Linked DNA regions of Sus scrofa. The protein of the gene in region 3 binds, or shares a complex with, the protein of the main gene of each other region. Links are inferred from orthologs where the notes say so. Each region holds a gene or a part of one and is shown on either strand. Other genes may lie near its edges. The genes, in order: EED, AEBP2 and EZH2.

The links.
Region 1: the proteins of EZH2 (region 3) and EED are in contact, whole or in part, in a cryo-EM structure (PDB 8VMI), measured with the Homo sapiens proteins. The link is inferred for Sus scrofa from reciprocal best matches to the Homo sapiens genes EZH2 and EED. Residues at the interface, in NP_001190176.1 of Homo sapiens: Arg34, Glu37, Val38, Lys39, Met41, Phe42, Ser43, Asn45, Arg46, Ile49, Arg52, Thr53, Ile55, Leu56, Asn57, Glu59, Trp60, Lys61, Arg63, Arg64, Ile65, Gln66, Pro67, Val68, His69, Ile70, Leu71, Glu82, Cys83, Ser84; in NP_003788.2 of Homo sapiens: Val85, Asn86, Ser87, Leu88, Lys89, Glu90, Asp91, Trp103, His104, Ser105, Lys106, Glu107, Asp109, Pro110, Val112, Arg120, Thr122, Leu123, Tyr124, Glu125, Gln129, Gly130, Glu131, Ile132, Arg133, Leu134, Leu135, Gln136, Ser137, Tyr138.
Region 2: the proteins of EZH2 (region 3) and AEBP2 are in contact, whole or in part, in a cryo-EM structure (PDB 8VMI), measured with the Homo sapiens proteins. The link is inferred for Sus scrofa from reciprocal best matches to the Homo sapiens genes EZH2 and AEBP2. Residues at the interface, in NP_001190176.1 of Homo sapiens: Ser76, Leu77, Arg78, Gly79, Thr80, Thr100, Asn102, Ala103, Val104, Ala105, Ser619, Asp620, Val621, Ala622, Ile739, Glu742, Met743, Glu744, Ile745, Pro746; in NP_001107648.1 of Homo sapiens: Lys382, Leu383, Lys384, Asn385, Arg387, Arg388, Ser390, Leu391, Pro392, His395, Asp399, Ala400, Gln401, Asp404, Ala405, Arg407, His408, Ile411, Cys412, Leu415.

What each region holds. Positions count from the first base shown.
Region 1 is NC_010451.4:20,153,984-20,156,793, forward strand, and holds part of EED (polycomb protein EED), read left to right. Parts: intron 1-2,536; coding exon 2,537-2,695; intron 2,696-2,810. UniProt on the Homo sapiens protein: Polycomb group (PcG) protein. Component of the PRC2/EED-EZH2 complex, which methylates 'Lys-9' and 'Lys-27' of histone H3, leading to transcriptional repression of the affected target gene.
Region 2 is NC_010447.5:53,635,935-53,639,659, reverse strand, and holds part of AEBP2 (zinc finger protein AEBP2), read left to right. Parts: intron 1-1,841; coding exon 1,842-2,028; intron 2,029-3,725. UniProt on the Homo sapiens protein: Acts as an accessory subunit for the core Polycomb repressive complex 2 (PRC2), which mediates histone H3K27 (H3K27me3) trimethylation on chromatin leading to transcriptional repression of the affected target gene.
Region 3 is NC_010451.4:109,383,726-109,387,815, forward strand, and holds the start of EZH2 (histone-lysine N-methyltransferase EZH2), read left to right. Parts: upstream 1-1,290; 5' UTR 1,291-1,413; intron 1,414-1,437; exon of another isoform or gene 1,438-1,461; intron 1,462-4,090. UniProt on the Homo sapiens protein: Polycomb group (PcG) protein. Catalytic subunit of the PRC2/EED-EZH2 complex, which methylates 'Lys-9' (H3K9me) and 'Lys-27' (H3K27me) of histone H3, leading to transcriptional repression of the affected target gene.

The DNA.
Region 1 (2,810 bases), about 89 Mb from region 3:
CTTGATTATCTTTTCTCATTAAAGTTGAGATTTTTATATTTCATGGTATAACAAAGTGAATTTTGATTGAGATAGATATTTTGTGTACTGTTGCAAAACTCTGGATCTTATTTAGAGCTCTTATAGCAGGCTGCCTCTGATAAATTTTCACCTGGGGAAGGGGCGTGCTTCTTTATGGTTGGCAGGTGGCATGAGTAAGTCCAGTTTCCCCACTTGATTGACTTGGTGATGCTATCTCATGACTACTGAGGTGAGAGTTCAGGCTTTTCACTGGGCCTCAGGTGACACCACCCTCACTGGGAGGGACTGGGAGGCCTCATTACTACCCCATGGGGTCCCCACTTATAACTGAGAGTGATGGGTGGTTGTAAATAAACATCCTGACTCTTTGCTAGGCCTCCTCTGATACCACTCCAGCTGGAGAGAAGGAGGAGTCACCTCATAGTGAGGGGTAGGGAGGAGTCAGGGTGTTAGGTGCTTGAAGTATTTACTTAGTTACCACCTGAGAAGGGATCCCCACTGGGACTTTGCTAGGTCACAAGTGGGTGGATCCAAAGTGTTTCCTGTGCTATTAAGTGTTTATCTGAAAATTTACTCTTATGCTAAGTTGCCATTTTCCGGATCCTCTGCAGAAAGCAGGCCTTTGTTGGGGCTTCTTCTGGTCTTCACTTGTTAGCATTGTTGAGTTGCCACCTTCTATAGGTAGGTAGCATCCACTCTGGGATACATAAAGGATGCAGAAGAAAATGAAGGAATTCAGCGTCCTTCTTGTCCCAGGGTCCCTAAACCAGTCTGCCTCCTCTCCACCCTTCAGATTTTTAAGCTGTGCTTGGTAAGATAAATAGGGGAAAATACTCAATTTGTTTTAGAAGCAGAAGTAAAAAGGCAGTAACTAATATTTCTGCTCTTAGAACTTAATTAGATTTCAGAAAGGAAAGGATTTCTGCCTTTCTGATGGGAAGTTAAACTGGATATTGGTGGTCTCAAATCTGGCTCTGCCTCAGAACTGTTGGGAGGATGTTATAAAAATAGTGTCCTAGGCTTCATCCTCAGAGGTTCTAAGTCTGGCACAAGGACCTGAGAATTTGTAATTTAAAGAAAAAGAACTCCAGATGATTTGCAAGTATAGCCATCCATTAATTAGTGTGGGTAAATTTTTTTTACCTCCCTATGTTTTAGTTCTCCATGGGGGGACTCCACTCATTCAGAATCCTTTACCAGTATCGTCAGTAAGAAGCACTTGAAGAACCATTTTACAATTCTGCTGCCTTGGCCTTCCCTCCCAAAGATTCTGACTTAATAGGGTTGAGGCCAACGTGTGTTTTTAAGGAAAGGTCTACAGGCTATTAATCAAATTGTGCACTTGAGTTAAGAGTCATCAGACTAGGTGATAGCTAGGGTACTTAGAGTAAAGAACTTGCATAGCAGATCTATAGACCTGGGATGTTATACAATCTAAAAAAGGCAGAGAAGAAAAAAAGCACATTCAGGTCAGGTTTACTCCCTGACCTCCCAGTGGCCCTGCTGAAAACTGTTTAAATGCCAGAGAACCCCACAGAGCTACCACATATGGTTGTGTAGGCTGTGTCCTGTAAAATTCCAAGAGGCACTCTTCATGTACACCAGAATTTCTCCATCCTACCACTATTGAGGTTGGGTCAGAGAATTATTTTTTTGTGGGAGGAACTGTTCTGTGCATTTTGAGGTGTTCAGCATCTCTGGCCTCTGTTGACTAGAAGCCAGAGACATTGCCAAATATTCCTTAATCGGCAAACCACTAAATCTATACAGTGATATAAATAGTGCCCTCTGTTTTGCATTTTTCCCCATTGTATTTTTTACCACTTGATGCTTAAGTGGAATACATGTAAAGGTTCATTGTTGCAGGATAGTGAAGGTGTAACTCAGCTATTTCAATCCCATCCCTTTATCAGTTTCCTGACATTGAACCACTGCTTTTATTGCCTTCTATATAATTCCATCTCTAAGGCCCTTTCTAGGCATTCATTAGCTTTCCTATGTTTGTTGAGCATCTACCATGTAGTGGAGACACCAGGAATGAAGGATCAATAGTTAACCAGATAAGAGGAACCACAGAAGGGGGGAAGGGAGTTAGAAGTGGAATTGGGAAAGATGAAAAGAGTGAAATAAGCAGGGGCCATGTTGAAGAGCTGTGTATTCTAATACAATGTTTATAATTTTACCTTTACTATAAAACACTTCAAGTCTCTGGATGCTAAAGTATCCAGAACTCAGTCTGGTGTGGTTTGGGAAAGAAATTGTGACTTCAAAAATAAATATTCCAAACAGTGTAATGCTTTTGTTATTATTAAAATCTGTTGGTAATTAGACCTCTTGTCCAACACTGACTTTGTGAATATACATGATCGTATATCACTGTACTCAGTAGATGGATAACCAGGTTCTAAAAGCTGTCAATTCTAAAATGATGTAGAGAAAAAGCTTTGTTTTTTATGTTTAAAATTCAGTTCTCCAAGTAACAATTCTTTTTTTCCCATTTCTCTCTTTTTTAAAGTCTTGTGAAAACGCCATTGTGTGCTGGAAACCTGGCAAAATGGAAGATGATATAGATAAAATTAAACCCAGTGAGTCTAATGTGACTATTCTTGGGCGATTTGATTACAGCCAGTGTGACATTTGGTACATGAGGTTTTCTATGGATTTCTGGCAAAAGGTAGCAATATGTTTTATGTTTTGAAATTATTTGATGTAAAACCATGGCAGTTTTAATTTTCTCTGTAGTGCATTTGTGTTGTGTTTCCTCAAAGTTTAATCTACCTTTTTTAAAA
Region 2 (3,725 bases), on a different chromosome or scaffold from region 3:
AATAAAATAAACAGAAAATAGCAAGTCTGGGTAGGGATGTGGAACTTCCTCGTATAACCTCTTATGTTGTTATATAGTATTGTGAATATGCCAAATGCCACTGAATTGTGCACTTAGATGTTAAACGTCTCATGATCAGAATCTGTAGCTGAACATTCTTGATGTAGGCTGAGGACCACACTATTGATAGGGTTGTTGTAAGAATTAAATGAATTATAAGCACTGGTTAGGACTTATTGCTTCTTTTCAAGGTTCCCATAGCACTCTGTGCCTTACCCCTGACTATAGGGCTTTGAAGTTGTTCCTTTCCATGCATATCTTGCTGATCATATGTAAGCTCTTTCAGGGCCAGAACTGTATCTTATTCATCCTTACACTTTTAGCATTTAGTGTAATATTGGACATAAAATAGTTAAGTCTATGAACTAAGATCTTGAGTTATTCCTCTCCCTCTCACTTAATGTGCACCTTAGAATGGGTAAAGATTTTTGTTAGTAATGCTGAATACAGTCCATGACATGTCTTTTGAATAGTGAAATAAGGAGAATAATACTAATAGCACTGTATAAGGATCTTGCTGTGAAATGTTTTCAGGCAGTATTGATTTTATCAGAATCTCTAAGCTAATATATTTAGAAACATTTATGAGTTGGGATAAGCTGTCTAGTAATACTCTGAAAGTATGAGCATGTCCTTGAAGGAAGGAAGATGAGCTCTCTTTCACATGGGCAGACTTAGACTTTATGAATAAAGCCATGGTCTCTACTAACAGGGTTGTATTGTGTTTGTAGAAGTTTGAAATAGTAGAGGTACCTAGGTTGAAATAAAGAGCCTGGAAGCATATGGATTTTTTTTGTGTGGTATAATCAAGAAAAATATGATTAAGTTAAACCACCTGGGAATAATGTGATTGATTTATTTGGTGGCAGGCAGATATGACAGATATGCATGCCTGGAGTTAGGTTGTCAAGCCAGGAACTAAGCAACTTGGATAAGTTACTAATTGAAAAGCCACTAGCAATCCAGTGCTGGATTTTGCTGTTTGGGGATCATTTTGGAAAATAGTGTTGGTTTTAATTAGTAACAGTCATTTGTTGGAAGATCTGCAAATATTATTTTCCTAAGATCTAACTAGACACAGACTTGTATTGTGACTCATTTGAGCATTGTGATTTTAGTGATATCCAAACATTCTGCACCCGTTGTTGAAATAGCAGATCTGACAGTTGACTTTCATAGTTAAGTTAAACCTTCTGTTTTCTCAATCTTGGCAGTACAGAAGGCTGAAGAGACTGTATTTAATGGAACTTATAGAGGGTTCCATAAGATTAAACCTGAACATAAGTTTTCTGAGACTAGACCCAGTAGTTTAAAAATCAGTATTATTGTATTTCTTTCCTATCTATTACAATAGCCAACAGTAGGGAGCTTGCTGAAGGTTTTAAAGTAGCATATGTCCTAAGATAAAAATGACTTTAAAAATCCAGGAATCCAGGTAATTGTTCGATTACATAATTTTTTGATCTAAAAACAGCTTATTGCTCCTCTTATATTTTTCTGGAAAGAAGAGCCCACTATTTTGTCTCGCATATAGTGGGAAAAGCAGTAAATTGGGGAGTCATGAAAATTTCTAGTCTGCCACTGCTTAATGTGAGTTATTTTGTCCAACTTACAAAATGAAAAGGTTGCTCCAGTCCCTCAGATTCTTTCTGGAATTAGTTCTGTAGTGTTACTGATAATACACTATTTATTTATTTCTGATAATACAAAATATTTACTCATTTGTATTTATACTTGTGTCCTATACAGAATCCCTGACATTCTTTTTTATTTTTATTTAGTGTGTTGTTGGTGGCTGCAATGCCAGCTTTGCTTCTCAGGGAGGGCTAGCTCGCCATGTACCCACACACTTCAGTCAGCAGAACTCCTCAAAAGTTTCTAGCCAGCCAAAGGCCAAAGAAGAATCTCCTTCTAAAGCTGGAATGAACAAAAGGAGGAAATTAAAGAACAAAAGACGACGCTCATTACGTAAGTGTTTCACTGAAAATCATTATGTATTAGATGGCTGTTGTTTATATCTTGGGCTTTGGCTCATTCAGTTTTTACCATTCTTGAACTCTGCTTATCTATTTTTATTTTATTTTATTTTTTTTATTTTAGGGCTGCACCCTCGGCTTGTGGAAGGTCCTAGGCTGGGTTGATGGCCATAGCAACGCTAGATCTGAACCGCGTTTGTGACCTACACCACAGCTCATGGCAATGCTGGACCCTTAACCCACTGAGCAAGGCTAGGGATCGAATTCTCATCCTTATGGTTACTGGTTGGGTTCTTTACCGCTGAGCCACAACGGGAACTCCTGCTTATCTATTTTTGTTACCAGTAATGAACAGTAGGATCTTGGTCCATCAGTGTGAGTATTCAGTGATGTATGTCTTAACTGTAGTAGCTAAGGGAATGTAAGTATATGTGACCTTAGAATACAAGCTCTGTATAGAATTAGATTTTTGAGGGCTACTTCGATTCTTTTCTAAATTAAGACAGTTTGAATTAAGAGACTGTTGTTGTGTCCATCAAGATTTTATTTAGTAAAAGAAAAAATAATGGGCATGTATGTATGTATGTATGTATTTTTGGCCATAGTCATGCAGTGGCTTGATGGGGGATCTCAGTTCCCAGACCAGTAATTGAACTGCAGCTGTGGAAGTACTGAATCCTAACCACTAGACCACCAGGGAACTCCCCCAAATTTTTATAAAATTTGAACATGTTAAAAATTCAAGTAAAAGTGAAGTAACCTATCTGCTCCAAAGTGGTATATGTGAATAGCGAGACTGTGTATAGTTTGTGTCTCAGTGCTTAACAGTCTGATGTGACTCATGTGTACAGTGGTTATGTGCTTAATTACCAGACTGTGAGCTGTATCCTCAGCATTTAGGAGAGAACATTATTAGATTATTGTATACGTTTGAGCCACAGAAAAATAAGAGTCTCTATTTTTATGGTTTTCAAAGGGTTTTGATTGTATAGCTTATTAACTTAAGAAATGATTGAGTATCCAGCCCTAACTTGTGTATTTATATAGTGTATACACCTAGCCCTGCTAATGAATATTATAATTACCAAGAAGAAATATTGAAAAACCTCAATATGAAAACAGCAAAAACAGAACTTGATTTTATTTTCTTCCCTACCTTAATGGATCATGACCCACGCCACTTTGGAGACTGTTCTAGTTCAGTATCCTTTTTTCCCCCTTTTTTGTCTTTTTTAGGGCCACATCCATGGCATATGGAAGTTCTAGGCTAGGGGTCACATCAGAGCTACAGCTCCTGGCCTACACCACAGCCACAGCAGCACTGGATCTGAGCCACATCTGTGACCTACACTGCAGCTTACGTCAATGCTGGATCCTTAACACACTGACCCATGAGGATCGAACGTGCATCCTAATGGATACTAGTTGGGTTTGTTTCCACTGAGCCACAACTAAACTCCCTAGTTAAGTATTCTTTTTTTTTTTTTTTTTTTTTGTCTTTATAGGGCCATACCCGGGGCATATGGAGGTTCCCAGGATAGCATTCAATTCAGAGCTGTAGCTCCTGGCCTGTACCACAGCTGCAGCAATGCCATATCCAAGCCGAATTTGTGACCTACACCACAGATCATGATTCTTAACCTGAGCAAGGCCAGGGATTGAATCTGTGTCCTCATGGATTCTTAAGAT
Region 3 (4,090 bases):
CTAGGAACCATGCCTGAGGTTGCAGTTAGATCCCTGGCCTTGTTGAGCTGTGGAGTAGGTCGCAGATACGGCTTGGAGCCTGAGTTGCTGTGGCTGTGGTGTAGGCCGGATTCCACCCCTGGCCTGGGAAACTCCATACGCCTCGGATGAGGCCCTAAAAAGAAAAAAAAGAAAATTCAGAATAACCTTACCTTCACTGTCAGATAAATTAAAAGGGGAAACTGCATCCTAAACAGAATATTTCTAATTCTTATGGGTTGATACAGGCTCACCCGCAGATCATTTTTTTTTTTAACACTTGAAAGATGCTGCAATCATCCCAATTTTTTCCAGAGGCGTTAGCTCGAGGCAAGTGAACCCCACTCACCCCTGATAAATGATTAACGTTGACACGTGTTTGGAACTACAAACGCTGGAAGGTGCCGAACAAGGCGCTCAGAATGAGGAAACTGAAATAACAGTAGGGCTGCTGTTTCCCAGGTTTCTAAGGAGATGGGCACTGCGGCCTCGACCAACCAAAGTCCAGCGGGCCAGGGGATCTGAGTCGGGCCAAGCCACTGAGGGGCTTAGCAGAAAAAGTAGCTGGCAGAGCGCTCTGCTCGCACCGGAGGCGGCGCGCCAGTCCGACCAGACCGCGAAAGGCTCGGGGCTCCTCGCCCGAAACGAACCAGATTGGAGCCCGGACCGCAGAGCGTAACTGGCCGGCAATCGGGGTACCTCGCGCGCGTCCGCCGGCCGGCCTGCGCTTCGGCTCCGCGCGCGGGGAAAAGAGCGCGGCAGTTGAAACCGTTACCACCCCCGAGTTTTGAACTGGTTCAAACTTGGCTATCGGCCCCGCCCCGCCCCTCCGGCCCGGGAACTCTGAGGCTGCCGGCGGTTCCCGCCAAGCGCCGCGAGCGCGCCGTCCCGCCCCCTGGTCGGTTCCCGCCATCCTGCCCTGGCCGCCTCCCGCCCGCGGCCCGGGATTCGGGCTGCAGAGGCCCCATCGTCCCAGCCAGCCGACCCACCGCCTTCCTGAGAGGCGCCGTGCGTTCGGCGAAAGAACAAAGAGACGGCGCAGCGCTTCCACTCGGCGGCCGCGTCCCTCAGCGCCCGCCCGCTCGCGCGCACGCGCCGCCGGCCCGGCCCGGCTGAGTCCCGCGGGCTCCTCTGCGTGGGGCTGGCTCGCCGCCACGGAGCCCGGCGGGCCTTGTGATTGGACGGGAGCCCGCCTCGCGGCCCGCCAATCGGGGCGGCGCTTAGTTGGACAGGGGGGGCCAAATAAAAGCGATGGCGATTGGGCTGCCGGGTTTGGCGCTTGGTCCGGGAGCGTCCGACACCCACTGGGACGCAGAAGGCGGTGGAAGCCCGGCGGCGGTGGTGGCGCGCGGGAGCGGCGCGCGGGAGCGGAGCGGGCTGGGGCGCGGGGCTCAGGTAGCGTGCCGCTGTCGGGCCGGCCGGCCAGCGGGGCTCCGAAGCTCGGTGAGGGGCGGCGGCGGCGCCGGGATATCCCCGCCACCCCTCCGGGTATCGCCCAGAGCGGGCTTTCCCGGGGCGCCGCTTTGGCTGGAGGGGTGAGAGGAGACCCCTCGGAAGGGGCCGTGGCTTTGGGCTGGCCCGCGCGACCGCGGGGGCGGGCAGCGCCGCACCTGGCGACCTAAGGCGGGACCCCGGGCGGGCGCCCTGGGGGGCGAGCCGAGGGGTCTTCTCGCGCGCCCGCCCTTCGGGAGGCGCGGCGGCTGGGCTGGGGGCGCTCCGGTGCTCGGGGCGGGCCGGCCGCCCGAGCCCCTGTCTCCTTTGTGTGGAGCGTCGCGGCGGGAGCGCCCGGGTGGGACGGGACGCACACAAGTTGGTGGGACCTCGGCACCGAGTGCACACTCAGACAAAGGACGGACTGTGTCTCGGGGGAGCTCGGCGCGGGGAAGGGGCAGTGACACCCGGGCCTGACAGCGGGCGGGAGAGGGGCGTGGGGAGCGCGGGCCGCGGCGCAGGGGGCGGGCTGGGCCCCACGCCCCCTCCCCGCGAGCGCGCAGGCTCGGCCGGGGCCGAGGGGGCCGGGGCGGCGCTGGGAACCGAACTCGGAGCGGCTGCGGGTCTGACATTTCCCCGGAAAGCACCCCCGAACCCCTCGTCTCCACCCGCTCTGACGAGGCGGTCCCGGCCGCCTTTACCCCCTCGGCTGGCTTTCTGTTAAGTTTGAGGAAGGGTCGAGCCGTTCTCCCCCCGCTCGGTTTTGTTCGTTTCGGAGGGCTTTTCGTCGAGTTTCCGCGTCATTGTCCACCCCCCCAAAAAAAGTCGGTGCCATCAGGTCCCTTTTTGAAAATTGGAGGAATCGAGAAGCATGATATTTTGAAATGAAAACTTGGTGAACTCACGCCTGCTGAGTTCCCGCTTTCTAAAGAATCATATTTTTTTTAAAAAATTACATGCTCTTTCGGCCAACTTATGTGATACATCTGAGACTGGCGACAGGTGCTAACGAAATCAACTGTCATTTAGTAAGAGATTATTCTCCAAATCCCCAGGGATTGAATGAGGATGCGATGGTAGAAAGAATTGATCAAGCAAAATGTTTATGACAAATGTGTGTTTAGGTGGTCTGGTTAGCAATTCGTCATTAATTGGTCTTGTTTTCCGTGAACAATAGCTTTGTTGAGTCAGAAAAGACTGACTACAGAAATGTTTGTTGCCTAAGAAATTGAACGTGTGCTGTCCACAGTTAAGCTAAACTTCCTTTGTTTGTCACACAGGATCTGTAAAATTTAAGTCATTTGGAAACAAAGATATGTCTTTGGTATTTAAAAATATTTTACTTCAAGGTTTACTTTCTGGGTTTTAAAGGTCATTTATCGGATTAATTTTGTGGCTTTTTAATGTCACATAAAACACCATTTAAGAAAATCTTTAAAAAACACTAATGCTGATACAGTTGAATGTAGGCTATACTTCTAAGGGATTTTAAGAGCGTGTGGGATCCTAACCATTAGACCACCAGGGAGCTAGGGGGTTTGGAGTTTATTTTCCACTACTCTTCATTCATCACCGTTAGCAACTATTTTATGTTTGGAAATAAAATGTAGAACAAGTGTGTAATCCTAACAAGTTTATTGATAATTTTATTTCAAGAAAATGAAAGTATTTATGACCTATTTTAATTTCCTTTTCATATTACCTAAAGTTAGGAGTAGGTAGGGTTCTAGTCCTGGATGTAAAGAATCCTTTCTCTCTTTGTGGTGGTGTATTTGGGAATTTAATGCTTAAGTTCTTGAAAACACTTAGGAAAATGGCATCTTAAATTCTAGTCTTTGTGGCAGGGGAATATCTTCAAAGAAGAGGAATTTAGGAACATAGCACCGATTTGCATTGTTCTATCTGATGATCTAATGTTCACCCTACCATCTTACGGTTTCATAAATATGGAGACAAAGAAATGCAGTGTAAAAGTCTTTATTACATATTTTGCAGTGTTAGACACCGCTGAACAGACATTCCAGGTGCTGTCCTAAGTATTGTTTACTGTATTAGTTGCTAGTAATTATCTATTAAAAAGTCCTCCTGATAATCTGGCCTCTTGTTATAAGATGAGCTAGTTAGGGAGATTTTGGTAGATATTTGGATCTTTTAGGATAAGAAATTGCAGTTTTTCCTTACTTGTTTGTGTACACTATATTTGGCAATTACTGTCTTTGTAGTTGCCACAAGATTTATTTTTAAGTTTTTTTGGGGGAATTGGTTTTTAATTTTTTATTTGATTTGAAAATGTATTTAAGTAGCAGTGATTAAAAAAACCACACTTGTTGATTTAGTGAAGTTAGGCACACAAAAAAGCTGTAATACTTTGATATCAGCTTTGCCTTGCACACATACATATAGGTGATTGTCTTTGTGTTGGCCACTTAAAATTTTTAGGCAGATTTCCCCAGGTTACACTGAGGCTTTCTAGGATATCTTCCATCCTTTGAGCTGGCATGCTTAAGGAGAACGAATTAGTTTCCATCTTGGCCTAAAAAGCGGTAATTAAGAAAGTTGATTTTTTAAAAAATCAACAGCAATAAAAAAATCCTCTGATCTCATGCATTCTGGGGTTAATTAGAAATGACCAGTGGATTTG